2 linked regions of the Arabidopsis thaliana genome follow. Each later gene encodes a partner of the first gene's protein in a complex. Each region holds a gene or a part of one and is shown on either strand. Other genes may lie near its edges.

Region 1 (14,912 bases):
TTTTATTTTACAGGCAAGTCGGCGGCATCACTCTGCAAGTGGAAAGAGTTCGGCGACTAAGATATCAAAGCAGGCCGCGTTTGCTTTTGTGAAAAGGACACTTGAAAGATGTCGTCAATTCGAAGAAACAGGCAAAAGTTGCTTTAGTGAGTCCACATTTAAGAATATCATCATTGCCGGGTTGACACAATTTGAAGATAATCCCACAGACAAGGAAGATATTCTATCAGCTTCAAGTATGATATCGTTTTTCCTTTACAGAACATTGAACTATGTTTTCAAATCCAGAAACTCTCTGTTAATTTTAATCTTTCTTTTTTTCAGCACTCATGGGATCACAACCAAGCTCATCATTGGCATTGCCAATGACACAGAGCACGGAGAATCATGCCAATTCTTCTGAAAATGCTTTACGGGAAGGCAGAGATGAAATGATGTGGTCAAATAGAATGAAGAAGAGAGAATTGCTGCTTGATGATGTGGGTGGGAAACCACTATCAAGCAGTACGAAAGGAAAGAGAAGTGAGAGGGACAGAGATGGAAAAGGACAGGCTTCTTCGTCAAGAGGCGGAAGCACTAACAAGATCGGTCGGCCTGCGCTTGTAAATGCCAAGGGTGAACGGAAATCAAAAACAAAACCGAGGCAAAAAACAACTCCGATGTTTTCTTCTTCTTCTACTTGTGTCAATATCGTGGAGCAAACCAGAACATCATTGTCGAAAACAACTAACAGCAACAACAGCGAGTATAGTAACTTGGAGACACTGGATGAGTCAGAGCCTCTTGACCTATCTCACCTGCAGATACCAGACGGTTTAGGTGGTCCAGATGATTTCGATACACAAGCAGGAGATCTAAGCTCATGGTTGAACATCGATGATGATGCATTACCAGATACTGATGATCTCCTTGGACTTCAAATACCCATGGATGATCTTTCAGACTTAAACATGATGGTATAAGGTCTTTCTCTCTCTTTATTTCTGTATAGTCTCGTTTGTTATACCATTAGCGATGAAGAAAGATGAAGGCAAGTTTTGGTCCCCTGAAAGGATAACCAGTCACCATAATCGGTTATTTGGGTAGGCTCCAGCAAACTAGGCGATATAGGTTCTGATTATTTTTCTTCTTCATCATCATCTTTTAGGGTTCTTTCTTTCCCTTTCTTATAGTTGAATTACGTGGGTGGTGAAACTGTTTTTGTTTATTGGGTAATTGGGTTTGGCTCCGGTGGTTAAGATAGGTCCGGTAGTTCAACTTCAGGAGAGGAAAACGAGTGATAGTAATGTTGTGTAGTGATATATAGTTAAGTGGGCAGGTCTTCTTCGTCTTTTTGGCATTTTGTAGCTTTCATAACCTCAGAACCATTATTATTGCCTCTGTACATACACACATTTTATGTTCCTTAATAATTAAAAAAAAAAAAATCAGCTTTTAGTGCAAGAAACAGGTCTCACTCTAACATATTATGCTAACAAGTCATCATCAATCACGCCTTCGATTTGCTAACATATAGTGTTATGAATTGAATAACTTGGAGTTAAGATATCAAAATGAATTTTGAAAGGACATTATGAAATATGAAACTAAAATAATGACTTGTATATTTGAATCGCACTCTAATTCTCCCTTTCAAGTAAATATCAACGTCGAAACAAAAGGTATGAAAAACCAATAGGAAGCACCAAAAACAGGTGTTTTCATCTATCTTTAGATATGAGAGTGAGAGTTGCGTTTATAGCATTGCGGTTAGTTTTGGACACAGCTTGCTTTAGCGTTACGGTTGGAGACGCTCTAACACTTCGTCGCTGCTGCTCAATGACAAGCTCGCTCGCAAACCACTCTATTTTCTCTGAATTGCTCATTTCTCCTATCCTTTTGCTTCCGAACAAAACCGACTCCACATTGTTTTGCTTCAACATCTCATCAGCTATCTCCGTCAGTTTCTTCACATTCTCTGCTCTTGGATCCGTGTCCACGTTCGGTCCACAAGCTCCTAATCGCGATCCATTTGCCTGCTGCACCACAATTTATTTCTCTAATGATTTTTTCATCCAAAAAACGCCAAAACATACAACGTTGTCTCCAATCATGATAAAAAAGAAAAAAAACCTGAATGCGAACGTAATTACTACTTCGGTAAGGCCCAAAGCCCATAGCAACAGCTTGATCAACAAACTCAGCAGACCCATCACCAGAGATTCTCGCCATGGGCCGAGCCCATTCCTTAACGCGCCAATTCTTAACCTGTTCATAATCATAATTCACTTCAAAAAGCTGACCAGTCCCAAGCGACAACACCAACAAATCCTCCACTCCTTTCACCGCCGGGAACTCCTGTTTGTTATGAAACACGTGCGTTATCGCCGCCGCCGTCGGATTACTCATCGCTAATCCACCCCCCACCGCAACGCACCGCGTTTTCCCGTCGACGGAACACGTGCGAACCGGATCAAACGTCCCCGGCTCCGCCCATGTGGCACGGCAAATATCTCGGAGACGAAAATCGAAACTGTCGCTTTCTAACGCGTCGGCGCGTGAGAATAGAAACGGAGCCGTGCTTGAGAGATCGTAGCAAGAGATGAGAATTGGTTTGAGTGTGTCTTTAAGCGTTAGATCGGCGAATGATGCTTTCATTGCTTTTTCTAGCTTCGCCGTTGCGGCGGTTACTGAAGATGATCCGGATCCGGATCCAGATCTTATGACCCGTTTAATCGCCGCTCCTGCTCCTCCTCCTCCACTTCCGCTCCCTGATCTGTAGAATCCTTCTGCGTTCTCTACGAGAAATTTCCAAGTGTCCTCCGCCTTGAAAATCGGGCGGTTGCCGTCTCTTGTCGCAAATATCATCGCAGCGAATACTCCACCGACACCTGATCCGGCAGCGACGTCGAAGTAATCGGCGATTCGAGCGTTTGGATCGCCGGATTTCTCTTTCAGCATTTGCTCTAAATAGATTAGGGATTTTCCCGCCAAAAGACCTCTCATACCGCCACCGTCAATGCTCAAAACGCAGATTCTTCCTCTCGGACTTCTGAAAGATGAAGACGGTGTTCCCGGGAGAACGACGCCGTTTGGAGTCAACGGTGATCTGGGAGAAGGACCTGCTTCGGAATCACCGGGTCGTAATGGACTCTGAGGAATCCATAGTAGCCTTGGGTCTTCGTAACCAAAGAGAAATTTGCTTTCGAGAATTGAGAAGATCTCGTAATTGAGCTTATCATCGGGTTCGTGTGATCGAGCCGTTGATAACGTTGGACTGGTTTGAGTCCTCTCGTAATTTCCAGGAGTGTTGGGAGCTGTGTGATTGACAAAATGCTTCTTCTTCCCTTTGGAGGAAACTGACAATGGCGGTGGCTTTTCGTAGCGCCGATTCATAATCGTTAGCTTTTAGACAAACCTTGAAATTGAAGCTTCCGTAGCTATAGTATGAGAGGTGTTTTTCAAAGACGTGTGCAAAAGATTTTAAAAATAGATTTTGATTTGGATTTTGTATGAACCAAATGGTGTATGTTAGCATGACATGGCTAAGCACTACTCGTGTGCTTGGAAAGGTCTGGTACCCACGTCCGATGCCTCCTCCAGCAAATTTAGCTCATATAGAATTTTCTTTTCTATCTTCTTTATTCTTGAGTAAACATATACTAATTTATTTAATTTGTTTAAACATAGCAGTTTATTGGTTGGTTGGCAGATATACCTAATATATCCAATCACATAAAAGTATTCGAGGAATGTTATTAATTTATCTGAGTGCAATCTAAATTATCTAATTAAAAAACAGTATAACACAGTTCACATTTTCTTACTCGAATCTCAGTTTTCACATCGAACAGTTAGATTGTGGAAGCTTTCTTAAAAGACAAGAAGAAAAGTGAATGAAGTCAAAATTTGAGACATAAGAACAGATGATTCTTCTTTTCCCAAATGGATTCCAATCTAACGTATCACAAAACATGAATTCCAAGTGAATTTTTTTAAATAAACACTCTCATGTACCTTATATATCTATAATCTTAAAATACAGCAATTTAATATATCTATATGTATTATAAAGATCATTTTATCACTGGAAGGTAAAACAAGAAATCTTCAGATGATAACAGGAACCAGATGGTGATATTATGTCTCCCTTGTAGTTTACACGGAGAACGTACCAGACAGGTTCCCAAGTGTTGCAAGTGGCGATCCTGCATCTGTGAAGTAGGACGCGAGATTGATCCCCGAGTAGTCGTATTTGTTCAAGAAAGGATGTTCCTGAAATTGTTTGACACAGAGTATGATTCAACATTTCAATGGATGAAAAACATGCAAAAGGGATTATATAAAACAAACCATCAGTTCCTTTGCAGAGCTTCGACTGTTTGGATCCTTCTGCAAACTGGATGAGAGTGTAGAGTGGAATATGTTAACTTAGTAAAGTAATCTCAGTAAAAGAGGGAGCAGGAATTTTTTGAGAGATTACCATGTGGAGATGAATGAAGATAACTCAGGGGAGAAATTTCCTGAAGGAAGAGCGGGTGGCGGTTGGTCAACAATGGCTTCCATCAACTCGAAAACACTGGTCCATGTTTCCTCTTGATTCGGAGGTGCATAAGGGAACTTTCCTGTTGCACATTCGAGTACTACTAAACCCAAGCTCCATATATCACTTTTATTTCCGTACTTGTTTCCAACGATTCTCTCTGGCTGTAAAAAGGAAAAATTAAGATTCTCAATTTTTATAACACTCGAAAGGGGTTTCAAACTAGTCAATGCTCAAGAGACAAATAAGATACTTACAGACATATAATTGTAAGTCCCCACAAATGTGTTTGCTAAACCTGCGGTGTTTGTCATAACGGTACTCACACCAAAGTCAGTTATTTTGACTTCTCCTCTGTGGTTGATCAACAGATTGGATGGTTTCAAGTCACGATGGATGATATGCCTATCGTGATGAAGATAGATTAATCCTTGAAGCACCTGCAATAACAGAACCAATAAATCACATCAATCAACCAATTAACAGTGAAGCGTATAGTTTCCTGTGTATCCTGTGTTTCTTACTTGTCTAAAGATGGCAGAAAGATAGGAGTCAGGGATGGCTTTAACTGACTTGAGAAAGTCTGCTAGAGATCCTCCGTCCATGTACTCCAAGATTAGTGAGATTGCGCCATTGTCATAAAATGACTGGTACGAGGTAACAAGATTTGGACACTGTGACGATTGATTTATTTTGAGCTCTTGTGCAATTGCCTTGCGAATTGCTTCATCAATATTTAGTTGAATGACCTAATCATATAGCATCAGAGTTATGCACAGTGAGTGACAAGGCAAGGAAGAAAAAGATTTGTAAATCTTCAAACACAGAGAAAAGATGAGGAATTTAGCTCATCATATACATAAAAGAATCTGAAGGTTAACCAATGAGTACCTTCAAGGCGAAAAATTGGCCAGTCCATTTGTGTTGAACCAGCTGAACAACACCACTACTTCCTTTGCCAATGACTTTAACCATATCCAAATCCGACAAGCTCAGCTGATCATCAGCTGGCTTAATTGGAGACAGCTGAAACACAGTCGCAAACGAAACAGATTACAAACAGTAATCTAGAAGATATGAGCTTAATCCCTGAGTTTCTCTATCCAGAACTACAGAAATGATCTTAAGAAGGTTCTAATTATGATCAGATCCACCAACCACATTACAGTTAATGCATTCAAACTCAACAAAATCTTCATATGCAGTACAAATAAACAATCAAACCTAACACTCGCGAAATTCAGTAAAATCAGCACCGAACGAGGAAGAGGAAAGACTTACGACTTCAGGCTCCAATTGAGAAATGATTCGAACTCCATCCTTGTTAACACGTAGATCTCCATCCTTAAACGTACCGCTTTGAGTCCTACAGAGAGAACCAAAACCTTTCCTCCTTCAAAAACAAAACCAGAGACATTTCCACACACAAATACATCTATCTATCCACAGATCCATGGAGAAAGAGAGATCGAGAAACATACAGGAATTTGGTGATGGATTGCTCGCCAGCAACAGGAATTGCGAGCTTGAGATTATTGCTGAATCCACCTTTCTTCATCGTCTTCGTCTACTTCGTTCTTCGCTTCTTCCTTTTTGTTGTTTCCTCGTCATTATATATTAAGTAAAACACAGTTTTAAGCATAATTCATGTACTTTTCAGCCAGAAATTGGAATTTGGAAATAAAACAGCCATTAATTAATATTAGTCAAGCACATGTTCACGACGTTGACCAACGACTTAGAGACTTTCCCATTTACTACTTCTTTTTCCCGGTTTTCTTTGACCGAAAAGTTTTAATCCACATTTTAACCGGAAACAAACCGGTTAATTCAGTGATTCTTCGTTCTTTAGCTTTTGGTTTTTAAACACTCCCAAAATCACCACTACAACAAAACGCTAACGCAGAATGCCAAACTAACGTTTGATATTTATAGAAAGTTTTCAATATTTCAAATATTGTTTGATCAAATACAATAAACACATATAACAAACAGTAAAATCTTTACTTATGTTTCTCGGTTTCATGTTTGAAGATAACAAGGTTTTCTTCAACAAGGAATATACAAATAAGCATACACCCCTATATTTGTTTTACTCATGTATACATTCAATTACACATCGAAATTATCACACAAAGAAAAATTGTTTCGAATTGATTAATCTATCTATCAGTATACTTCATGTCTAGTCTCTATAACCAACAAGAACATGCTATTCTTCAACATTGTCTATATATTATAAGCCCTATATACATTATATAGTCACAGACTCAGAGAGGCTCCACAAACGATTTCCCCAAACATAATCCTATCACAAATTGCGGGGGGCAAGAGCTACTAGAGGCAATGATCATGAGGTTCGTTCATATCTCCATCATGTTGAAGGAGAATTTCGAAAGAAGCTTAGGAATTTGCGACATGATCGGCCCATAAGTCTGCAACGCATAAATGAAACATCACAACACATAATTAAATACAGCTTGATTGACTGACCCTGTTAGTTTTACCAGGAACATCGATTAAAAGTTCACGATGAGTTAAGGGCAATGCAAGTAAGATAGTACATACCTTTTCATTTTCATGGAGTTGACACAATGGAACAGCGAGGAGTTTGAAGTTCTTAGGCACAACAAACTGTTGATGTACCGGTAATCTCACAAGAAAAAGCTTTGTGCATTCCTACACAAAAGATGAGGATAGAGCAGAGCTTTTAGTATAAGCGCAAATCTTCAAAAGTCTCAACTTTTTCTTACAATGAAAGTGAAACTAACTAACCAACCTTTGGGTGTTTAATATTAGGTGGCAAGAAAGGATACATCAATGTCTCAAAGTTGGGTCTCCACCACATCCCAATACATTCTCCTACCTACAACAATGTTGTAATTAGAGAGACCATTCTTAAGCCAGAAACAATCAGATACAAAAGCACTTTAACAAGAAGCCATAGTTCCTACCTCATAACCCGAAACACCCACATTTTCGTTAACCGATAGCTTTGATGCTAGTTTCCGTTTTAGACCTTCAATATCTAGAAGATTAAGGAGAAACATGACTTTAGCGTTTAGAATTGAGACAGCGATATTTATGCATAAAGATGCAAGGAAACAGCATACTAAACCTGATTCTCCAGGTCTCAAACGACCACCAGGAAGCTTGAAAATGGAGTTTCTATATTGAAGAAGCAAAACATGAGGATGCTTGAACAACTCAACCTGATGTGTCCCAACATTAGATTTTAATCAATCCTTTCAAACCAATTTTCCCTGTAAAACTTTTCAAAATCCCTAATTTGGCTACCAACTATAAAATTACCAGAAGAACAGCTTCAACGCAAGTTCTCAATCCATGAGCAGCATAACTTCAAAAGAAACAAAAAAGAAACTTTAGCTATAGATTAAAACAATAAGAAAAAAACCAGATGATCTAAATCACATCAAAACTCGATTTACTTGGATTTCAATCTGATGACTCGATCAGAGATAATCTCGTCCTTGACGCGAAGAGCTTCTTTTGAACCGAAGTAGTAGCTGCTAAGCGGGTATAAATCAACCATCAAGTCATGAACGACATCGTTTCGTCTCGTCGTGTTGTCACTGATCTCCTCCATATCTAACGCTCGAGCTTCTTCACCCATTTTCTGCCCGTAAAATTCAAAGACGAGAGCTAAAAGCGATCTCAATCGATTAAAATTAAATAACAGAGAGACCACGAGAGCAGAGAAGACGCAAGAAGAAGAGTGAAGAAAGGTGTCGTAGTCGGATCACTGAGACGTGGCGGCTCCAGAGAGTACTTCTCCGCAATTAGCTGACGACGGCGGGAGAGTGAGGAAGAAGATATTAATGGGCCTGTTACGATATTAATGGGCCTTTAGTAGTAAACAAGAATACGGAACGATGTTAAACACTCTATTGTTTCCAACTACTAAAAACGACGCGAGTTTCTATTTTATAACTAAAAAACGAGAATCAAAGTCTCTGTTTCAAATTTGGGTCTTTTGCTTCTTCTTGCTCACTTGAGGAAACACAGTAAAAACCTAAAAAGAGAATGAAACTCGCAGGTCTGAAATCGATCGAGAACGCTCACGAAGATTCCGTTTGGGCAGCGACGTGGGTTCCGGCGACGGAAGATCGACCGGCGTTGCTTCTGACTGGATCTCTTGACGAGACGGTGAAGTTATGGCGACCGGACGAGCTGGATCTTGTGCGGACTAATACTGGACACTCTTTGGGAGTAGCAGCTTTGGCTGCGCATCCTTCTGGGATTATTGCAGCATCTTCTTCGATTGATAGCTTTGTCCGTGTGTTTGATGTTGATACTAATGCTACGATTGCTGTTTTGGAAGCTCCTCCTTCTGAGGTTTGGGGAATGCAATTTGAACCTAAGGTAATTGACTCAATGAGATTGCCTCCAATTTTAGGGTTTTGAAGGATTTTGGGTTGTTTTGTGGTGAAAGAATTCGATTGCTTCATTGAATTTCACTTCTTAGTTGCGAGTAATGCTTCTCCTGATCTATATAACAATGCTTGGGTACTATATGGAATTGCTGAGTATCGTTTGAATCTGTAGCTCTGATCAGATAGGGTCATCTACTCTGCTCGGAAAATAGATCTAGATCATCTTCTGATTTTTCATTGAGTCTTATATAGTAGATTAAGAACAATTTATTGGTGCTTTGATGATAAATCTTGATTTGGTATGATAGAATTTTGACCTGGTGACTATCAAGTATCAGTGCAATGATCTCTCTTTTAGTTTGCAGTGGAGTTTTTATTTGCTTCTGAGCTTATAATTTCAACATTACTCTTTAGAATGGTGCTCTGCTAACATAGTATTTTACATGTTCCAAGGGTACGATCCTTGCTGTTGCAGGTGGAAGTAGTGCCTCAGTCAAGCTTTGGGACACTGCAAGCTGGAGATTAATCTCAACTCTATCAATCCCACGCCCAGATGCACCAAAACCTTCCGATAAAACCAGCAGCAAGAAATTCGTTCTCTCGGTGGCTTGGTCTCCTAATGGGAAACGACTTGCTTGTGGTTCAATGGATGGTACGATCTGTGTTTTTGATGTTGACCGCTCAAAGCTACTTCACCAGCTAGAAGGTCACAATATGCCTGTAAGGTCCCTTGTGTTCTCCCCTGTAGACCCGAGAGTCCTCTTCTCTGGATCAGATGATGGGCATGTGAACATGCACGATGCAGAAGGGAAAACGCTGTTGGGGTCCATGTCAGGGCACACGAGTTGGGTGCTGAGCGTTGATGCTAGCCCAGACGGTGGAGCCATAGCAACCGGCTCAAGCGATAGAACTGTGAGGCTATGGGATCTTAAAATGAGAGCTGCGATTCAGACAATGAGCAACCACAATGACCAGGTTTGGTCTGTGGCCTTTAGACCACCAGGTGGAACCGGTGTCCGGGCTGGTCGACTTGCTAGTGTCTCTGATGACAAGAGTGTATCGCTCTATGATTACTCATGAACAATTCGGTTTTTTGACTTTTTTCTTTTATGCATTCTCCAAGACGCATCTAGTTGTAACAATATAATCTGCAACAGGTTGATTTTGACCGGAGTCTTTAGATTTATCGCTTACACAAAAAACAAAGAAGATAAAATGATTCAAACTTTGCGATAGAACTTTATTGGAAAACTGAGAAACAGATAAAGATCACAGAGAGATGAGTTGAAGAGTAACGCAAACAAACGTCTAAAAGTTTTCAAAAAACAAAACAGCTAAAGATTATGGTCTTGTCTCTTATGACGTAAGTGTATTACTTCCTAAGTAACTCTTGAGAACATCCATGACAGCTCCGAAATCTGCTTTCACATCAACAGGAGGATTGGAGAATCTGCAAGCCATGTCAGGGATGGCATTGGAGTGATAATCTATCTTAGACTGAGTAAACTTCAACCCATGAGCAGTACTCACTACCACAGTTCGATCAGTCGGTGCAATCACTCCTTGATTCCTCAGCTTGAACAGAGCAGTTAGAGCAACACCTGTATGAGGACAGATAAACATTCCTGTCGAATCCGCTTGAGCCATCGCATCCATCAGCTCCTCCTCTGTGGCTTCTTCTACAATACCATTGCACTTCTTGAGAGCGTACACAGCTCTATCGATGGAGACAGGGTCACCGATCTGAATCGCAGAGGCGAAAGTGGTACTTGCAGTCATGGGCTTGAAGTCCTTCCAACCAGACTTGTAGTGCAAGTAAAGAGGATTAGCATTAGCTGCTTGTGCACAGACCATCCTCGGGATCCTATCGACAAGTCCCAGTTCTTGACACATCTTAAACCCTTTGTAAAAGGCATAGATGTTTCCTAGGTTACCTCCAGGAACAATCACCCAATCAGGAACTTGCCAATCAAACTGCTGCAAAATCTCAATAGCTGCAGTTTTCTGCCCTTCTAACCTCAAACTATTCAACGAATTCGCCAAATAAATCGGCAATTCCGCAGTTATCTCTCTAATCAGCTTCATACACCCATCAAAATCAGTGTCAATACTCAAAACAAACGCACCATTAGCTATCGGCTGAACCAGCTGAGCCATAGAGATCTTGTTCGCCGGTAAAAACACAATCGATGGGATTCCAGCGGAGGCGCAGTAAGCAGATAGAGCAGCAGAAGTATCTCCGGTGGAAGCACATCCGACACCAACCACAGGTCGTTTCATCTTTCTCAGACGATTAACTTGACTAACCAAAACAGTCATTCCAAGATCCTTGAAACTTCCTGTATGACTAATCCCACAGTGTTTCACCCACAGATCATTCATACCTAGAAACTGCTTACCAAATCTCTCTGCCCAGAACAGATTCGAGTTTCCTTCAAAAGCTGAAACGATGTCGTCGTCATCGATCTCAGGAAGAACCCACTCTTTCTTCGACCAAACACCCGATCCATAAGGCCATGTGCTTTTACCAACACGCGAATCGAAGAGATCACGCCAATACGCGCCATCGAATCGCTTCAAAGCCTCCATATCGTGTTCGACATCAAGCAAACCACCGGAGCGGCTACGGTACACGATCTCGTCGAGAGAGTAAGACTCCGTGGATCCAGGAGCTGCATTAAACGGAACGTATTTAGCTGAAAATGGATTCACGGCGTTGGAACGATTACGACGAGCCTCATCTCGAATGTTATCCTCGGTACGGTGAGGAGGCTTGACCGCTGTCTCGATCGGGGCTTTGATGTTGTTGCCATCGGCGGTACAGGAGATGACGACGGGGCGGTGGCGGAGGAGAGAGGTTGACCGGTGGCGGCGGATGGGGTCTTGTTTAGGGTTTAAGGACGATACAGAGGCATTGAAGAGACAAGACGAAGCCATTTTTTCTAGAGAATGAGAAGTGAGATGCGGCTGAGGATTTTGAGGAGAGGACACGAGTGAGAGAGAGAGAAAACTATATTCAGATACTTAAACCGGAAATGTCTTAGAACCGGCTAGTCGGTTTAAGCTTTTAGGTTAATTGGGATTATGTATGTGACGTAGAGAGATATTTTGGGCCCATTAATCATTCAAATATCTGGATCGCTTTCCGTATATAGCAATTGAATATTTATGTTTTGTCACGTTTTGCTTTAAACAGGCTAATAAAGTGCATGTTATAAGGAACATTCATGTTGATGACAAAAAGATAAAAGGTTACATTTGACCCAAAGAAAACAATAATGTTGAACATAAAAATTCACATAAGAATCACGTTTTAATTTTGATATAACACCAATACACCATCATGATATAGATTGAAACTCTAGTAGTAACAATGTGTAAGTTGGCCAAATTTGTAATCAATTAAATACTGCATCCAGAGGAATTTGATGGAAAATGAACAATTACATCTGAAAGCAACATGTGAACACTCCAAGTATCCCATATTACTTGGTTCGAATTGGAAATCTTTATAGAAACAAATATCAATTTGAACCGGGTGTATATTTATAGATATGTAAGTATAAATCTGACTAAACTGTCACAGACTCGAATTTATTTGACAAGAAGAAGGAGAAAGTAAGAAAGGACTGGACTCAAATTCTATAAAACTACACAAAAGAGAAAACAAGTCAATCATTGCTATAGAGTAATAAAACATCTCTATACATTTTGAGTAGGAGAGATTCAAAAGGGGACACCTAAACGGGCGGTATGTTTGAGAAGGAGAAACCTTTGTATCCTTTGTAAGCATAATACGCAATCCGTGTATAGTAAAACCCGGGAATGAACAGAAGACACCCGAGGACGATGAAGAAAATCCCTGGTTTCACCATCAAAAATATCAAACAGAGAATGATAGGTCATTGATGCAATGATGAGAAAGAAGTAGTTCCGGCAAAACGGAAGAAAACAGCAAATCAAATGAAATCAAGTTTAAGTACAATGCTGATACTTGCTTTCGCTTTGCAGTATTGCATTGGGGATGTATGAAATGCATTAATGAATTACAAGCCCAGAGGAAGAAGAGCAAACTAGCTAATTTGAAGTGAATCTCATGTCTATGTTACAAGCAGAATTGGGATATATCAATAACAGTATGTGATGATAGTGATCTAAAAAGTTAATGGAATCCAACGGAGATCCTTCCCTTTTTTATCTCACAGATAAGAGAAGCTTAGAATCATCATATACTAGTTTCTATCGGAAGTTTACTAATCATTCTAACAATGAAATCAAATCGTATGCCTTTGGAAAACTTGTGTCTATTCATCCAAATCTCCAGAAAACAGAGAGCAAAAGGCCAAGCTGAAACGAAATTACACTCCACCGTAGCTAACCAGAGCACTTGCAATCTATATCTATCAGCTTAATTACCAAAATTATAACATAACTTCACCAAATCTAAAAAAATTCCTAAAACAATCTAGCTGAAATCAATTACTGTTTTCTAAATCTCTCAAACTAGCAAAGATAAGTCCCACATATTCTCTCATGAATTCCCAATTTCTACTCCAAGACTGGATCAATAAATGTGGAATAAGTAAGAAAGGTGAAGAAATCGCTACCGTGGCCTCGATCACCGCCAACTCGATTATAAGCCATGAAGAAACCGGAGACAATTCCTAGGGTTCCGAACACGAGTAAAGCCACCGCGAGTGCGATCTCCTTCACCGGCGGTCGGTTATTGACGGTGTATGAAGTCTCAATCATAATGTCCTCGTCCGTTATCGAGAACGCATGGTCGACGTACGCCATTTTACACAGCTTCCGGATCAAAGATCAATGGGAAACAATCAGGACCGATCTAGAAGAAAGCAGAATGACGATTGATCTAGAGCTCGAGAAAGATGAAATCGTACTGTTTGAATTTTAGGTCTTCAGATGTTATGAGTCTCCTACGACGGTGACGGATTAGTTTGGTGCAAATGCAATTTCTTTTGGTCGTGAAATCTACTCAACGTACTATGATTCAAACTACGCGTCGTTTGATTATTCTTTTCTCCGAAAACGGCAGAACGTGCGAGTTTGAACAAATCAAACTAATCAGTGGGCTATATATAACAAACCAGAAAATACTCTCTGTTTTTCCATTTGTTTTTTTGATGATGACATCATGTATATTTACCAATTCAAGAGATTCAGGTCAAGAAATCAAACCAAAACCGAACCATAAAGATCAGAGAGATTTATGGGGAGGATATAGTTTCCAGAGAGCAACAGTTGCATCTTCAGACGCAGACGCCATTAGCTCACAGTCTGGAGAGTAGGACACAGCGTTGCACTGCAAACAAAACACATGAAGGCATCAAAATACAAAGATTTAGAAAATGGTTGTCTCTCAACTGTTGAACCAGTCTAAGAAATTTTCACATACCGTTGCTCGGTGGTACTTTAGTATTGCTAGAGCATTTCCTTTGCGGTAATTATAGACTCGTATTCTGTTTCCAAATATGTAACAAACAGGAGAATAGTTTTTAGTCATATGCATCAACTTTTTTTCACACTGGACGAAGTCTAATTGATTTATTCATATGTTTTGTTTCATATTGTGAAAATCAGTGCATAGCATGAGGATGCTAACCTGTGGTCCCAACCAGCCGTGGCTGCAATTTTCCCATCGACTCGAATTGAGGTGCCCGATACACCGGGCCTTTCCAAAGTAATCTCTTTCCTTATTGTACAAGAACCCTACAATCATATGAAAAAATGTCATGGAATCAGTATTAAACTATAGCTTTACGGCAATCACACAAGTGCATCCTCTCTAGCAGATGTCAAACTTACAGTTGAATGGTTGAGATTATACATCACAATTTTGTCATCTGCCCCTCCTGAGATTCCTCCATCACATGATGATGCAACACTAAGACTTAAAACTGCATAAAGAATACGAATTAAGTAATTTGGAAAATTCAGAGAGCAGGAACAAAATATAAGAAAAATCTAAATACAGA
Region 2 (17,096 bases), on another chromosome or scaffold:
GATCTGCCTTCTGATGTAAGCTTCTGAATACTATTTTTACTTGTAATATGTAATATTTTCTCTAATTCATCTCAATTGATCAGATATTAAGAAAACTTGAAGAGCGAAGGGATGACTTAGACCATTTGTATGAGATGGAGGAAAAGGAAATTGGAGCGCTGATTCGTTATAATCCTGGGGGAAGGGTATATAAATCTTAAGTTCACTAAGTTACTGCATGTATATATGGAAAAAAGCACTAATGTTTTTTGGTTTTTTGCTTGCACTGGAATTTCTAGTTGGTCAAGCAGCATCTAGGATATTTTCCTTCAATTCAGTTGGCAGCTACTGTTAGTCCAATCACCCGCACTGTATTGAAGGTAGCTAATGGAGAGATTCTTCAATAATTTATAAGCTTTCAGACGACAAACTATCTATCAACATCTAATTTGTTACCATTTTTAGGTGGATTTGCTTATAACTCCAAATTTCATATGGAAGGATCGTTTTCATGGTACTGCTCTTCGTTGGTGGATTCTCATTGAGGTACTACTATCTAACTCCCATTAAGACACATATGTCACAGTGACAAAGAATGAGCTGTTTGTAACGATATAGTATCTCATGTTATAGCACTACTAAACACTAGGAAGAGTCAATACTCTGTGCTAGATACTAGTTAACTAATGATTTCTTCTTCAATAATGCTAACTCTTTTGGCAGTGTTGATATAACGCTTGTCTTGTGCTATTTCTTCGACAGGACACAGAGAATGATTATATCTATCACTCAGATCTTTTCACACTAACGAAGCGGATGGCTAGAGGGGAACCACAGAAGCTTTCTTTTACCGTACCGATATTTGAACCACACCCACCACAATACTATGTTCATGCGGTTTCTGATTCTTGGTTGCATGCAGAGACTTACTTCACAATCTCTTTTCACAATCTTGCACTACCAGAGGTATATATCTTCTAGAGGTTGCTATTTCCGAAATAGTTACAAGATCATTTCTACGCTTAAATTATCGGTAAGGTAGGTCCTAACAGTCTTCTTCATTCAGGCGCGGACGTCTCACACAGAGCTTTTAGACTTAAAACCTCTTCCTGTGACTTCTCTTGGGAATAAGTTGTATGAATCGCTTTACAAATTTTCACATTTCAATCCAATACAGACTCAGGTTTGAGCATATTTACCCTGTTACTCTCCTAATTTTATATTAAAAATGTTTTTCTTCATCACTCCTTTTTTAGTTAACTGAAAATTGTATGGTTTGGTGTTGCAGATTTTTCATGTGTTATATCACACAGACAACAATGTTCTTGTAGGAGCTCCAACTGGAAGTGGGAAAACTATATCTGCTGAACTTGCAATGTTGCGTCTCTTCAGTACCCAGCCTGATATGAAGGTATGAGTTTTCACTCTCCTAACGCTTGGTAATTATTTAGTTCGAGACTTCGACTAATGTTTCAGTTTATTATACATGATTATGTTTCAGCTAAATTGCCAGCCTTTTACTGAATCTACCTATTGAAATGAAGAAATGAATCTCTAAAATGATATCAAATCACGGCTTAGTTTAGTTTCTAGTGTTCTATTTTATCTTACTGAAGATGCCTAAATTTTTGTGGCTTGCAGGTTGTTTACATAGCACCACTGAAGGCTATTGTTCGAGAAAGGATGAATGATTGGAAAAAGCATCTTGTTGCTCCACTTGGAAAAGAAATGGTAAGAGGATATTGCCTCGGAGCATCTATACATGTTGCAGACTCATAATCCATGATTGCTGTTTATTTGGCTACCAAATATTATTCCTAACACTTGCATTTCAACAGGTTGAAATGACTGGAGATTACACTCCAGATTTAGTAGCTCTCTTGTCCGCGGACATCATCATATCTACCCCTGAAAAATGGGATGGCATTAGTCGTAATTGGCATACTCGAAGTTATGTCAAAAAGGTAAATTTTTGTCAATAGATTGCCTTTTTTGTGAACAGTAACTTATGATGTTCTGGGGATATAGGTCGGCCTTGTTATTTTGGATGAGATTCACTTGCTTGGAGCCGACAGAGGACCGATTCTTGAGGTAGAAGCTTAATAACTATTATATCCCATTTTCTAAGTACTTACGCTAAGCTCCATCTATTGGTTAGAAGTTTCCAGTTATATCATGACACATGCAATGTATCTATGGTCTTGGTGAAGAGCTTATATCTTTTCGGCTCAGGTTTTTTCAAAGTTATGTGTTCCACCAGATTTATTTTTGATCTACATTTGGTTTCCAGGTTATTGTATCTAGGATGAGATATATATCATCACAGACAGAGCGCTCCGTCCGGTTTGTTGGGCTTTCTACAGCTCTGGCAAATGCAGGGTTCGTATTTTAACTTCTCAGACTCTTTGAATATGCTCTTTTCTATGTATTATCATTAAACACGCAACTGAATGTTCGAGCTGGTAGACTGTTATTCGTGTCTTTTCTGTGCTGATGACATTGTGCTTATAGTGTGATTTGTGAGTGAAAGACTTTCAACTTTAGTCTTATTTACTAGAAAATGTTAATGTGGAAGATGGCTTAAGATATACCTTACTCCCAATTTTTCTGGTAGCCAGTTTTACTTATTCTCTCAAGTCTCCCTTTTCAGTGATTTGGCTGACTGGTTGGGTGTTGGGGAGATCGGACTTTTCAATTTTAAACCAAGCGTCAGGCCTGTACCAATTGAAGTTCATATTCAGGTAAGTCAATATCTTTTCTCTAGTTTGCAAACAATTAATACCTTTCTTAAACAAAAAATTTATGTATGTCTCCTACACTGTACTTGACTACGCTATTTAATTTCCATTTTCGGTGGGTGGATTAAAGGTATTCAAGGAAACCATACAAGTATGAAATTTCCAGACTTAACCTTGTTTATTGTTTTCAGGGTTATCCTGGAAAGTATTACTGCCCAAGGATGAATAGCATGAACAAGCCAGCATATGCAGCCATATGTACTCATTCACCTACGAAACCTGTTCTTATCTTTGTTTCATCCCGTAGGCAGACAAGGCTTACTGCATTGGATCTTATTCAGGCATGATTTATCATCAAACACCGATACCGAATCATCTTTTAACTATATAACTCTAATTTGTATCATCCTTTGTATCTTCTTTTCCTATGAAATGAAGTTTGCTGCCTCCGACGAACATCCGCGGCAATTTCTGAGTGTGTCAGAGGAAGACTTGCAGATGGTCCTCTCACAGATAACTGATCAAAACCTTCGACATACGTTGCAATTCGGCATCGGACTGCATCATGCAGGTTTAAACGACCACGATAGATCTGCAGTCGAAGAGCTTTTCACGAACAACAAGATTCAGGCAATTTCCTCAACATATTCTCTCTGCTGCCTTTACCGTATCCATGGTTACACTTTTACATTACGATTGATGATGGAATCCATGCTTCCATTACAGGTTTTGGTCTCAACAAGTACCTTGGCATGGGGAGTGAACCTACCAGCTCACTTAGTTATTATAAAGGTAAAAGAAGGTCCTCTTCTATTATTATGTTTGGGATCACTTTCTTGGATTTTCTCCTCTAATGATTTGTCTTTTCTCTTTAATACCGTTGTTTTTGGCAATGTTTCCTATCAGGGAACAGAATATTTCGACGGGAAAACCAAAAGATATGTTGACTTCCCTCTTACAGAGATCTTGCAAATGATGGGACGTGCAGGGCGACCACAGTTTGACCAACATGGGAAAGCGGTTATTCTTGTACATGAACCTAAAAAAAGCTTTTACAAAAAGGTCAAGCTCAGTTGGAATTATTTGGCAATTTTTGGTATCCGTTGCAACAATTTACCTCAAAAAGATCATACTTCCTCTGCATGCAGTTCTTGTACGAACCATTCCCCGTAGAAAGTAGTTTGAAAGAGAAGCTGCACGATCACTTCAATGCGGAAATCGTCTCTGGAACAATAGGCAACAAAGAAGATGCAGTGCATTATCTTACATGGACGTATTTGTTTCGTAGACTGGTAAATATGCTTCAGTTTTATTAAAAAGCGAGATACTACTTGAGAACGTGATTCTGGTTCCTTGAAAAATTGTGCTAAAAGCATGATCAGTTCCCTGCAGCCAGATTCTCTTTTTCCTTTCAGATTTTTCCATTACTGCAGAATAACCAGTTCATGACTCAATCTGGTATTTGATGTAACAGATGGCTAATCCTGCTTACTATGGGCTAGAAGGTACTCAAGACGAAACAATCTGTTCCTACTTATCAAGGTAAATATCAAAGTTATTAAATAAAGAAGATTTCTCTAACTAGAACCATTGTAATATTGGTGTATGCGGGCTGCTTTTTGTGTAGATTGGTGCAAACCACATTTGAGGATCTTGAAGACAGTGGTTGCCTCAAAGTAAATGAAGATAGTGTGGAGCCTACGATGCTGGGTACAATAGCGTCACAGTATTACCTTTGCTACATGACCGTGTCTATGTTTGGCTCTAATATAGGTCCTGACACATCGCTTGAAGTAAGAAGCTGATCCAGTTTATATTGATTATTCTTTTTGTTTTTCTTTGGTTTCTAACCACTGCCCTTTAGGCATTTTTGCATATCTTGGCTGGTGCTTCTGAGTATGATGAACTTCCTGTGCGGCACAATGAGGTCTGGTCTATACTGTTTTACTTGACGAATATATGGTTCATTTTTAAAAGTATCTTTAGTGATATGGTGTCAAAAAAAAAAAAAATCTGTGTCCCTTAGGAAAATTACAATAAAACACTGTCAGATAGAGTTCGGTATCCCGTGGATAATAACCATCTAGATGATCCTCATGTGAAAGCGAATCTGCTCTTCCAGGTATGTACTTCTTCACACTATCATGCACTGAAGAATGAAACAAAAATCCAAACTGTGTGAGTTCATGACTTAGGCCCTGTTTGTTTGTCCATCCACATGATCCATCCAAATGGAGATGAAAAATGATGTTTGTTTTTGACAATTTAACAAGCATTTGGATGGATCATCTGGATGATACATCTGAATGAGTATCTAAATTTAGGCAAATTTATGAAACTCATTTGGATGAATTTGATTAAACCATTTGGATGGAGATGTTTCATCCAAAAATAACAAAAAACTAATATACCCTCATTTATAGTCATAATTTAAATAATTTTATTTTCTATAGATTTCTCAAAAAATCATGAAATCACGTATTATTCTTTTATGTCAAAATCGTAAAATCGTGGAATTGCGTTTTTTGGCCAAAAATCGCAAAATCATAATTTTTGATGTAAAATTATAGAAATCGCTATTCCACCTAAAATCATAAAACTATATTTACGCTGAAACCACTAAATTATATTTTCTTGCCAAAATGACAATATTATGTTTTTCCGCCAAAACTGCAAAATCATGTTTTCCTGCTAAAATTGCAAAATCATTTTTCCCGCAAAATCATATTTTCCCGCCAAAACCGTAAAATCGTATTTTTCCGCCAAAACCGTAAAATCATATTTTCCCGCCAATATGTTTGGTATTGATAGTGGGTAATAATGTTGAATATTTGTCATTTGTTAAAATGAAAACATGGGTATTTTAGTTATTTTTATCTAAATGAAAATGTGAATGAACTACAAAATGATCAAACAAATAAAGATCCATTTAAATGCATCATTTATATTAAATTACAAATAACGAAACAAACATCATTCAAATGTATCATTCAAATGAATCATGTAAGTGGATCATTTGAATGGAAATGATAAATGATGAAACAAACAGGGCCTTAATCATATAATTCATGATTGTTACCATCTTCTTAATGCATGACATCCATTGCTCCAGGCACATTTTTCTCAATTGGCACTTCCAATCAGTGATTATAACACGGATTTAAAGTCAGTACTGGATCAAAGCATTCGGATCCTCCAGGCCATGATTGATATCTGCGCAAACAGTGGATGGCTCTCAAGCTCACTGACGTGTATGCGCCTTTTGCAAATGGTCATGCAGGTAGTGTCCTGAAGATTACTACTCTTAGCTTGTTCAAATTATTTCACTTTTGCAAATTAAGAGGAATCCAATTCTCTTTTTAATTCTAGGGCATGTGGTCTGATCAAGATTCGTCATTATGGATGATCCCATGCATGAATGACCTTCTTCTAGGATCTCTGACCGCAAGAGGGATTCACACGCTACATCAGCTATTAAATCTTCCAAGGGAAACTCTACAAAGTGTAACCGAAAACTTCCCTGCATCAAGATTATCTCAGGTGCTCTCAAATTGGTCACAACTATTTCTTTTGCATTTAATACTTTCACTCATGGAGTCTCAACTATTCTCTGCTGCACTCTTCGATCTTAATTAGGATCTCCAACGATTCCCACGGATCCAAATGAATGTGAGACTCCAAAAGAAGGATTCCGATGGCAAGAAAAAGCCTTCAACGCTGGAAATCAGATTGGAAAAGACATCAAAGAGGAATAGCTCGAGGGCATTGGCCCCTCGATTCCCAAAGGTTTCACTTAAAGACTTAACCACAGATTAGTTTGAGCTCGAAACAAAAATGAAATTGAATTCAACACGTTTATTTTGTGTTATAGGTGAAAGACGAAGCGTGGTGGTTGGTTCTTGGTGATACTTCAACTTCTGAGCTCTTTGCTGTGAAGAGAGTTTCGTTCACTGGTCGTCTGATCACACGCATGGAGTTACCTCCCAATATAACCTCTTTTCAGGTACAAACAATTTTCAACTTATTTTCTCAAACTAAATCATTCTTTCTTACACTTCTATGTATATATTATTATTGCTGAATTGGTTTTTTTTTTTTTGGCCAGGATACGAAACTCATCTTAGTTTCGGATTGTTATTTGGGGTTTGAACAAGAACACTCCATTGAACAACTTGCACGACGCGGATGAGCCATTAGATGATGGATTGTAGTAACCCCATATTTTTTTGGAATTTGTTTTATATATTGTCAAAATTTTCTTAAAATTCTGGTTTTTTTTTGTCGTCTTCTTAATGTAAAACCAAATTTTACCTTACGTTTTGTAATAAAACAGTGTTACAGATCTTTTGAGATACATAAGAAAAATAATGAAGAGCTTAAGGTAAATGTGTTAATTTTACATAACGTTATGTAGAACAGTGTTACAAAAAAATTGGGCTACATGACTACATAATAAATTAATCAAGAGATTAAAACTAAATGTGTTTACTCTGTGACAGTCTGTTTGGTAAATTTGTTTGGGTCAACAAGTTTACGTTATTTTGAACTATCTCCATATCAAATTACCAATTATTCATTACAGTTACAGAAGGGAAATAAAATCCATTATTACATGAATTTAAAAAAATCATGATTCTGTCTTTATTTTGATTAAAACGAGTCTAATTCCAGACTACATTATAACAAATGGACGAAAGGAGAGTGAAAGATTTGACGAACATGATTAATCTTCGTCACTGTCATCAATCACGGCCTTACGACGATGAGTCGGAGCTTTTCTAGGCGGAGACTCCTCCTCGTCAGACTCAATCCCTTTCCTTTTCCGGCCACTTCCACGGTGATCCTTCTCTGCCCTACCTCCCTGCATAAACCACATTTCACCACACATTACAATCTCAATGAACTTCCTCATTGACAACAATAAAAATGGAAGAACATTCTAATTTGCGTACCGCAACCTCTTCCTCTTCTTCATCTTCATCTGAGTATCTGTTAGATTTTCCTCGTTCCTCTTCATCTTCTTCTGCATCTTCCTCATATTCATCTTCTGAATCCTTGCCCCTTCCACGGGCCGGTGACTTTTCTTCCTCTTCTTCTTCCGTCTCATATTCTGATTCCTCTCTCTCACTCTCAGAATACTCCATTTGACGTCTTGACGGTCTGGCCGAAGTCATTGAAGACCTCCCCGGAATGCCTTTGTGGCTCTGGTTTTACCCCAGTGAGAAGCAGTTGAATATTAGTTCAATTTCTAATGCTTTTTTTGCATTCCGAGATATATGAGTTTTTGTTTTGTTTACCTTCTTGGCGTTTAGAATCCGGCGTTCCCGTTGCGCTTCAGCTTCGAGATCTTCCTCATAGCCACGGTTTGAGCGGTAATCCTCGTCATCCTGGTTCCAAGAAACAATCAGTCGTTACTAGTGCAATCTTTGCTTTAGAAAATGGAAGAACCCAATATACACAAACTAATCAAACAGACCTCATCAAGAGCATCTTCCAAGTAGCCAGTGGAAAGTTGTCTCCTTTCAACAGGAAGTGGATACTTGCGCTTGATTTTCTCCCTCGCCTGACTCAGCTTTGTACTAGCCTTGAGGTTTTGGCTTTCCGCCTTCAGAATTTGAGATATTAAATGAGAAAAGTCTACAAACACTGCAATAAAACTATTGTTGGATTGTCTGAGCTCAATTAAGAGGTAACCTTTTCTCTCTTCTCCTTCTCCCTCTCAGGGTCAATGTCAGTGACACAGTTCTTAACTTTGAAGGCCTTCTTCTGCCTCGATTCAACAATGGCAGTCAAGAGCCTATGGGAATTTGACGTCAGCGATGATGGGGTAAATCTCATTTTCTTCAAAATTCTTCCTTGTGATTGAAGGATACCCTACACCAACATCCAAATAAGACAACACTTTGAGATATAGCAGAGTTGGAATGCAGGAGACATTTGGTTTCCTAATGAGAAGTTTTGTCATTTAGTATAGAGAATCGTATGGGTGCTCTAAAATGAATCAGTGTATCTAGGAGGCTGGAGCAACTACAAATTGATCGCTAACTAAGGCAGAAGGAATGACGAAGTAACACCTTTTCATGTTTGATAAAGAGGTGATTCTGGTCTTCTTTTGCATCTTGTTCAGTTATGTTAAGAACTTCGTTTCCTATCAATAGCTGTAAGCTTCCATCTGACCACCTTACAAACCGAGCATTACTTTCACTCTGCATACGAATATAGAGTGACTTGAGTTTACTACAGCAAAAGTAACGGAAAAAGTAGAAGAAATGTGTGCAATAAGCAACAAAACCAAGAATTCTTGTTTATGGGCAGATTTCTAATGAAGCCTAAAGAATAAGAAGAACTGTTGAACAGAGATATCATAAAATTTCATCTCCAACTATATGAACACATGTCCGTAGTGAAAAGCACAAAGTAAACTAATTCGGAATACATAAATTGCATCAAAAGTATGTACTTATAATACATCATTGCATCAGAAGTACTAGTAATAGGCAAACTACATAGCTTCATTGCAGGTTTGATGGAAAATTTAAAAGCAGAAAAGCTTTGAAGAAGTGTTCACTTACATATGTTTTGCCATCTCGACTCTTAACAAACCTATGGCGAACAATATTATTGTCCAAACGGATACGATTCTTTGCTCCGGGTTCATCTGTCATGAATGTGTCTTCTTCAACGAATGTTTTGGCATCAAAAGGCTTTGGATCAATCCCCATGATATTGGAAACTTTTATCATGTTCATCTGAAAAAGATCAAAGAGAAAACGGTATATGAGGAAGCGCAATTTTGCTACAGAACATCTTCACTACAGATAGACAACTAGAAAATGGGGTTTCAGATATAAAACAGAATAGCACGCTCATGTACACCAAATGGCCCTTCATGCTAAGTAAATGTAGAAGCATGTTTCAGTGCAATGGTTCTCCACATAAAAGACATCAGATACTCACTCTTCGAACCACAATGATATGAGAGATTTTGGTAACTTGGAAATACCAGAAAGGAAACTATTGATTTGAAGCCATGTCAGCGAATAATCTTTTAGCAACATAAAGCAGGTATACCTTAACGGGGTCACCTGGAGGAGGGCGGAAAGGAACCTCCACTTCCAAAGGGGGACCAACTGGCCTCTCCCTGTACCTAGCTTCAACATGTTCAGCTTCTGACTCGTATTGAGGATCTTCTTCAGGGATTATATCATCAAGCACCATATCATCGGGTCTCAGATCCTTCTCAGAGCCCTCTTCATCTTCGATTGGCGATCTCTACAAAATTAGACATCTCATCATACATACATGCAATTTCATATGGTTTCTAAAAGGAAGCAAACACTGGAAAGGAAACAGATATTCTGTAAACTGAAATGTAATATTAGATGCAAGACTCACATGTTCATCCTGCTCAACGTCATTCCGAACATATTCTTCTGCGTCTTCATCATCCGAAGATCCGAAAACATTACGAATATTTACGTCTGACTGTGCAACTTGAACCTCTTCCTTCTCCTCACTAGGTGATCTACCCACCACGCCATATTTCCATGTACAAAAGACAAAGTGATCCATAAGAAATTTGAAAATCCAAGGAACCTCAGAGGACTAGCAAGTATTATTAAATCCAGAGCACAGAAAAGATCAAAAAGAAGCTATGAAACAGCTAGGAAAAAAAAGAATGGAAAAAGGGGTACCTTGGACTCCTAGTCTGATCAACCTCTTCATCTTCAGACTCATAATGCTTTTCACCAGACCTCTCTGATCCGCTCTCAACAACCTCCTGTCTCCTCTTTTTGGCTACTCTACCCCCATGTTCTTCTTCTTTGTTATCACTATCACTATCTCTTGCTTCACTTTCCTCTTGTGGATCAGCCTCCTGTGAACTTTGCTCCCTCTCACCCTCACTTTCTCCAGGATCAAGTTCTACATCTCCCTGTTCCCCGTCAGACTCAGCTTCAGCTTCTCCGTGAACTTCAACCTCAGCTTCACCTTCTCCTTCAGGCTCCACCCCGCCCTCAGCCTCATCCTATCAGTGTTTACATTGGAAATTTCAGCCACAATTTCACTGATATCTTAGTCTAGTTGATATTAAGAAGAACTGAAGCTGAATTAGGCCTAATAAGTTGCATTGGTTCCTGCAATTAACCTAAAACCCTAAATTCAAGCGAGAAGAACTCCAGAAACCATTCGTATTCCAAGGTGTAATTGAAGAACAGTGGCAGTGAAAAATACGAAAACTGAAACAATCAATAGTGACGAAACGAAGGAGATAAAGATGGAGAGAGTTACGGAAGCGTAGTTAGGCTGACGACGATTGCATTCATGTTCGGATTCGATCTCTTCTTCCTCGGAATTATCTCCGAACAGATTAAGCATCATCTCGGATCTCTTTTCTCCTTTAACCATCTTCGCCTCACTTACTCAAAAGTCACTGCCTCTTAGCTGGTGACGGCGGCTCGTGATCTGAGCTCCGACGAAGGGTTCACTGTTATCGGCCTTTGTTGAAGAAGCTATTTTTTTTTCATCTCTACCTCGCGATTTTATGGCATCAGAATTATTATTATTAAAAACAATTGTTACAACTTACAAAGAAAAGGAAATTTTCATCGATATATCTTTTTTAACGCATTACCGGATTATTAAAAATCATTTTTTTTACGTGTAACGACGACTAGAGAGGGAAAAAAGATGGGATTTTATGGGCTTTTTTGAGATTGGAATTCAATATTTTTGGCCCACAAATTTTGGGTTATGGATACCAGTTTCTTTGTGATAGTGAGCTTGTGTTTGCCTTGGCCCCTATGTATATGAATGATACAACATCCTTTTAACTGATTCTTTTGGCCCCTATTTTTTTATATTTAATTTATTTTAAAAACTAATTATTAACTTCTTTGATCAAATAACTTGAGTTGCCAAAATAAATGTTATGTCTTCTTCTAAAACATTGTTGTTGGTTTATAGATTTTATCTGCTTTAGAAATTAACAAGAGACAAAGATTAGGTAAAAGCATAACCGACTTGTGTTCTATGAAAACTTAAGTGACAACTAAACATCATGAATATTCAGGAAATCCTGAAAATTTAAACAGAATTATAGTAATTTCTGAAAAACTCAAGAAATTATGGAATAAAAAGAAAAAAGAAAAAACTATGGACACTTTTAAATTACTCAAACTAGTTTAAGGCTTTTGGAAATTTCACTTTTTGCTTTTTTTTAACTCGAGAAAATTACAATTTTATGTAGACACATTTTGCTCACAAATGTTTATTTATATATTTTCCATAAATTTATTTTTCAGCCTTTTATCTACAAAAATTTATCTTCTAAGAATGTTTTTACCACCAAAAATAATAAATATAAACCACAAAAATAAAATTATATATTTTATATATATATATATATATATATATATATAACAATTTTTATCTATGATATCTGGCAGTCGCAGTTGGCTTAAGCCGCCTGGCCGCCTCTGGAGGGACCAAAATAATTCAAATGGTAATTACGTGCCTTGGCTTCCAACCAACGTTTTTGACTAGGGCTGACTCGGTAGCTTGTTATGTTAGTATAAGAGTTAACTCCATCTGATACTCAGCTGAATAAACTCATACGTACAAAGGAATATTATCTAAAAGACGAGAGTACAAGTGAGAAATGGCGTTAAAGGTGATCAAGATCTCCCGAGTCAGCCCTGCAACCGCCTCCGTCGACCCGCTCATTGTCCCACTCTCGTTCTTTGATTTACAGTGGCTTAAACTCAACCCTACCGAGCAAGTCTTCTTTTACAAACTCACCGAATCATCATCATCTCGCGACGTTTTCTACTCCTCCATCCTCCCCAAGCTCGAGCGATCTCTTTCACTCATCCTCACTCACTTTCGCCTATTCACGGGTCACCTTAAGTGGGATTCACAAGATCCAAAGCCGCATTTAGTTGTTCTCTCAGGAGACACACTCTCTCTCACAGTGGCTGAGACTGATGCGGATTTCTCACGTATCTCTGGCAGAGGGCTTCGTCCAGAGCTAGAGTTACGCCCTCTAATACCCGAGCTACCGATTTATTCTGACTCGGGGGCTGTTGTATCTCTGCAAGTCACTTTGTTCCCGAAACAAGGCTTCTGCATTGGAACCACAGCCCACCATGTCGTCTTGGACGGCAAAACGGCTGAAAAATTTAACAAAGCATGGGCTCACACTTGTAAACATGGCACCATACCGAAAATTCTACCAACGGTTTTAGATCGTTCTGTCGTCAATGTTCCAGCCGGACTTGAACAAAAGATGCTCGAACTTCTGCCGTATCTTACGGAGGACGACAAAGAGAACGGAAGAACCCTAAAGCTACCTCCAGTCAAAGAGATTAACGCTAAAGACAACGTCCTCCGAATCACCATCGAGATAAGTCCTGAAAACATTGAGAAACTCAAGGAGAGAGCCAAGAAAGAGTCAACACGCGCTGAGCTTCACTTGTCAACGTTCGTAGTCACGTTCGCCCATGTGTGGACATGCATGGTGAAGGCACGTAGTGGTGACCCAAACCGACCGGTTCGTTTCATGTACGCTGCTGATTTTAGGAACCGGTTAGAACCACCAGTCCCTGTGACATACTTCGGGACTTGTGTCTTAGCCATGGATTTCTATAAATACAAAGCTAAGGAGTTTATGGGAGAAGATGGATTTGTCAACACCGTCGAGATTCTCAGTGATTCGGTCAAACGTTTGGCTTCACAAGGGGTAGAGTCAACTTGGAAAGTGTATGAGGAAGGAACAAAGACAATGAAATGGGGTACACAGTTGTTGGTCGTAAACGGGTCGAACCAGATTGGGATGTACGAAACGGACTTCGGGTGGGGAAGACCCATTCACACTGAGACAATGTCTATCTACAAGAACGATGAGTTCTCTATGTCCAAGAGGAGAGATGGTATCGGTGGCGTCGAGATTGGCATCTCTTTGAAGAAACTTGAGATGGATACTTTTCTGTCTTTATTTTACAAATGGATTGGAAACTGAAAACGTACGGTCTTAATCGATCCCAGCTTTTGCTTATTTGTATTTTTATTTCTAGTTCAATAATTGCCCTATATGTACTACGCAAATTTGTATTGATTCTGTCTTTTGAATTCTATTTTTTGGGGTACAATAATCATCCATATTTGAAATATTAGTAGACTTTTCATGATCAGTGAATCTATTTCCCCCTACTTTGAAAAATCGAAACTTTGATTTCAGAAAAAAAAAGCTGTGATACGCAGTGGCGGAGGTACAGCTTCAGGAGGGGGGTCACTTGACCCCATGACTTTTACAAAAAAAAATTTAATAGCTTAATTATTTGGTATTTAGTATATAATTTGGGTTCAAATATTAAATTGACCCCCTTACTCGAAATTCAAATCCTATTTTTGCCCCACTCAATTACCATATTTTGTGTAAATCAATCTCATTATTCTTCTTCTATTAATTTCCTGAACCCTATATTAAATTTTGGTAACTGGTTTTATTATTCCCCTAAAAATACATGAATTTAGATAGACAAAACAATTAAATAATGTGGGTACTAATCTTTACATTTAGATAAACAAAAAACAATTTTAGTAACAAAAAAGATGTATATCATTTTTCACCAGATTTTTAGTAAACTTTTAAATAGAAAAATGATGAATAACATATGACTACTCGTGTATTTTCCACAAAGAATTTTTTTTCGGAAAAACAACAATAATTTACGAAATTGTGATATTATTTTTTGTTCTATTTTTTTATCTATAAAAAATTTTTTTTTAAAAAAAATCCTTGTTTTAATTTTCTCAGAAACGTGGGACCACAATATTTTCCAAAGGGTTCAGAGTTTAGCGGGCCGAATATATGTCATAGGCCCATAGGCTAAAACAATAAGGGTAGTTATGTAAAATCCGCTCACACACACTCCTCAAAAGCCCTAATCGTTTATCATAATTCCTCAATCCCGTCTTCAAGTATCGCCGACGCCGCAGCACAAAGGAGGAGAAGAAGGATCAAAGGCGCGACAACAATGGCGACAGGTAAAACAGTGAAGGATGTCTCTCCACACGAGTTCGTCAAGGCTTACGCTGCCCATCTCAAGCGTTCCGGCAAGGTAACGAATCGTGATTCTTAGCTTTTGGTCCGCATCGTTTGTCCCTAATCTAGTATTTTGATTGATGTTTGGGATTACGATTACCTCATGAAACTGCAATGATCACTGCCTGATTGAAACTTGAATTTGGCCTTACTCTAGAGCATTTTGAATCGTAACTACAAATCTCAATAAAGTCTAAACAGTGATTTGCTAGTGTCATTTCAGTGAAGATAGGTTTCTGCTTTTGATTCCAATGTTGTTCCTTCCATGTAGATTGAGCTGCCTCTGTGGACAGACATCGTCAAGACTGGTAAACTTAAGGAGCTTGCTCCATATGACCCTGACTGGTACTACATCAGAGCTGGTATGTATATATAACATCTGGTCAAATCTTCTACATATTGGATTTAGCATTGTCTTTATCTGTTCTATTTAGCTTCCATGGCTAGGAAGGTTTACCTGAGGGGTGGTCTTGGAGTTGGTGCCTTCCGTAGGATCTATGGAGGAAGCAAGAGGAACGGAAGCCGTCCTCCTCATTTCTGCAAGAGCAGTGGTGGTGTTGCTCGTCACATTCTTCAGCAACTCCAGACCATGAACATTGTTGACCTCGACACCAAGGGGTAAGTATATTGTCTCTAGTTTAGATTTCTCATTGGCCTAAATTAAGTTAATACACTGGTACAAAGAAATTGTAGGAAAATAAAAATTGTATAACACAAGTTAGACACTTGGATTCGATTTTCGCTTAAGAAATCTGCTGAAACTGTAATTGTGACCTATTAAAACTCACTAGATGAAGTGTGTATAAATGGTTTTAGAATGTACTACTGCGTCATTTACTAATATACCTATGGAAGCAATTGTTCATCTTCGCTAGCTTATGATTACATGTTCTGATGTAACCAGTGGAAGGAAGATCACATCAAGTGGTCAGAGAGATCTCGACCAAGTCGCTGGAAGGATCGCAGCTGCTGTCTAAATCATAGCGACTGATGGTCAACTCCAAGTTTAAGGTTTATGTTTGAGATTTAGTAATGGAATGAGTTGCATTTGATGAAAACCAGTAGTAGAATTCCCTCTCATTTTTGTTTTGATGAGTTTTCGTTTACAAATTGCCTCTCTTTTTATTCTCAGCGACTTATGGCTTATATATTTGATTTCATCTTTGACCTCCTTTCCTTTCTATTTCATGAAATTAGTTATCAAAATTTTGATAATGGCTTGTTTAGGTTTTTACATTTAAGCTCCTCGTTCTTCTTCAAAATCAAAGTGTAGAAACAGAGATTACCAATAACTAATTGTGAACGTTTCAAAGTTTTTAAAATTTCTTGTAAACGGAGGTAACCATTAAAAAACGAATTACATTTATTATTTTGTAATATTCAAAACAAAATCAAAATCTTGAGAATCGAAACCGTTACGTATACTACAATTTATATGATCACATTTTAAATTTCGAAAATTGAGGGACATTTCAAATTCAAGAAAACATATACTCCACTAATTTAGGGTGTCTCCGTTAGTTTCTAAAACTCGTTGCCCCTTTTAATTCCAGTTCAAAAGCTCACGCCTCATACACAATCTCTAAACCCTGACCTCCCATTTCAGTTTCTCTGTTTGAGAACACTTGATTTCTTTTAAAAATGGCGGCTACAGTAGCAGAGTACGCAACTGCTAAATCATTGGCGTTGCTGGACACAGAGAACCGCGAGGTTCTCAATAGTTTTGATGCCATTTTTACTCATGGCAACACCGATCAAGTCGCTCCTCTTGATGAGCCTCTGGTCTTTAACCGCTTTGGACTCAGTCACATCTCGGCCAAAGACACCCATCAACCAAAAACGGACGTAGATGAATCAGCGAAGGCGGATTTCGCTGGTGCAAAAACGTCAGTTTGGTGGGACATTGAGAACTGCGAGGTTCCAAAGGGTTGTGACCCTCATGGGGTTGCTCAGAGCATTAGATCAGTTCTGTCGAAAAGTAACTTCTGTGGTCCGCTCACTATTTATGCCTATGGTGACACAAATCAAATCCCTTCCTCTGTACAACAAGCTCTCTCTTCCACCGGCGTATCTCTCAATCACGTCCCTGCCGGTTAATCTCTCTTCTTGAAACACCTGATTAGCTATAAATTAAAGTATGAATATTTTGGAGTTAGTGAGACCAGTCTTTGCTTTGTAGTCTCTAATGGCTTAATTATTCTCTATGTTCTTGATGATGGTGAGCATTTAACAGGAGTAAAAGACGGGAGTGACAAGAAGCTCCTTGTAGATATCAT

Evidence for each region.
Region 2: VIP3 (region 1) and VIP4 share a complex: the UniProt entries of both Arabidopsis thaliana proteins name them as parts of the nuclear PAF1 complex.

What each region holds. Positions count from the first base shown.
Region 1 is NC_003075.7:14,589,162-14,604,073, forward strand, and holds VIP3 (Transducin/WD40 repeat-like superfamily protein), read left to right. Parts: upstream 1-8,397; 5' UTR 8,398-8,566; coding exon 8,567-8,905; exon of another isoform or gene 8,906-9,062; intron 9,063-9,369; coding exon 9,370-9,996; 3' UTR 9,997-10,139; downstream 10,140-14,912. Other genes in the region: AT4G29790 (serine/arginine repetitive matrix protein), read left to right, coding at 14-236, 325-962; PLP8 (PATATIN-like protein 8), read right to left, coding at 1,701-2,018, 2,113-3,375; MKK2 (MAP kinase kinase 2), read right to left, coding at 4,138-4,254, 4,333-4,378, 4,463-4,686, 4,780-4,962, 5,047-5,271, 5,414-5,548, 5,804-5,915, 6,004-6,080; homolog of CFIM-25, read right to left, coding at 6,886-6,957, 7,091-7,201, 7,302-7,388, 7,477-7,550, 7,641-7,734, 7,835-7,880, 7,972-8,156; MTO2 (Pyridoxal-5'-phosphate-dependent enzyme family protein), read right to left, coding at 10,273-11,853; AT4G29850 (transmembrane protein (DUF872)), read right to left, coding at 12,657-12,778, 13,524-13,713; EMB2757 (Transducin/WD40 repeat-like superfamily protein), read right to left, coding at 14,135-14,239, 14,333-14,396, 14,540-14,646, 14,743-14,834. UniProt on the Arabidopsis thaliana protein: Component of the PAF1 complex (PAF1C) which is involved in histone modifications such as methylation on histone H3 'Lys-4' (H3K4me3). Involved in regulation of flowering time. Required for the expression of the flowering repressor and MADS box gene FLC.
Region 2 is NC_003076.8:24,596,406-24,613,501, forward strand, and holds VIP4 (leo1-like family protein), read right to left. Parts: upstream 11,321-17,096; 5' UTR 11,124-11,320; coding exon 11,007-11,123; intron 10,744-11,006; coding exon 10,412-10,743; intron 10,243-10,411; coding exon 10,113-10,242; intron 9,990-10,112; coding exon 9,789-9,989; intron 9,467-9,788; coding exon 9,290-9,466; intron 8,924-9,289; coding exon 8,792-8,923; intron 8,592-8,791; coding exon 8,412-8,591; intron 8,323-8,411; coding exon 8,194-8,322; intron 8,105-8,193; coding exon 8,015-8,104; intron 7,922-8,014; coding exon 7,670-7,921; intron 7,579-7,669; coding exon 7,441-7,578; 3' UTR 7,229-7,440; downstream 1-7,228. Other genes in the region: AT5G61140 (U5 small nuclear ribonucleoprotein helicase), read left to right, coding at 1-15, 84-185, 279-359, 445-525, 742-945, 1,046-1,162, 1,268-1,390, 1,621-1,710 and 18 more; AACT1 (anthocyanin 5-aromatic acyltransferase 1), read left to right, coding at 12,376-13,734; AT5G61170 (Ribosomal protein S19e family protein), read left to right, coding at 14,753-14,836, 15,092-15,182, 15,255-15,438, 15,725-15,797; AT5G61180 (Putative endonuclease or glycosyl hydrolase), read left to right, coding at 16,462-16,912, 17,000-17,096. UniProt on the Arabidopsis thaliana protein: Component of the PAF1 complex (PAF1C) which is involved in histone modifications such as methylation on histone H3 'Lys-4' (H3K4me3). Involved in regulation of flowering time. Required for the expression of the flowering repressor and MADS box gene FLC.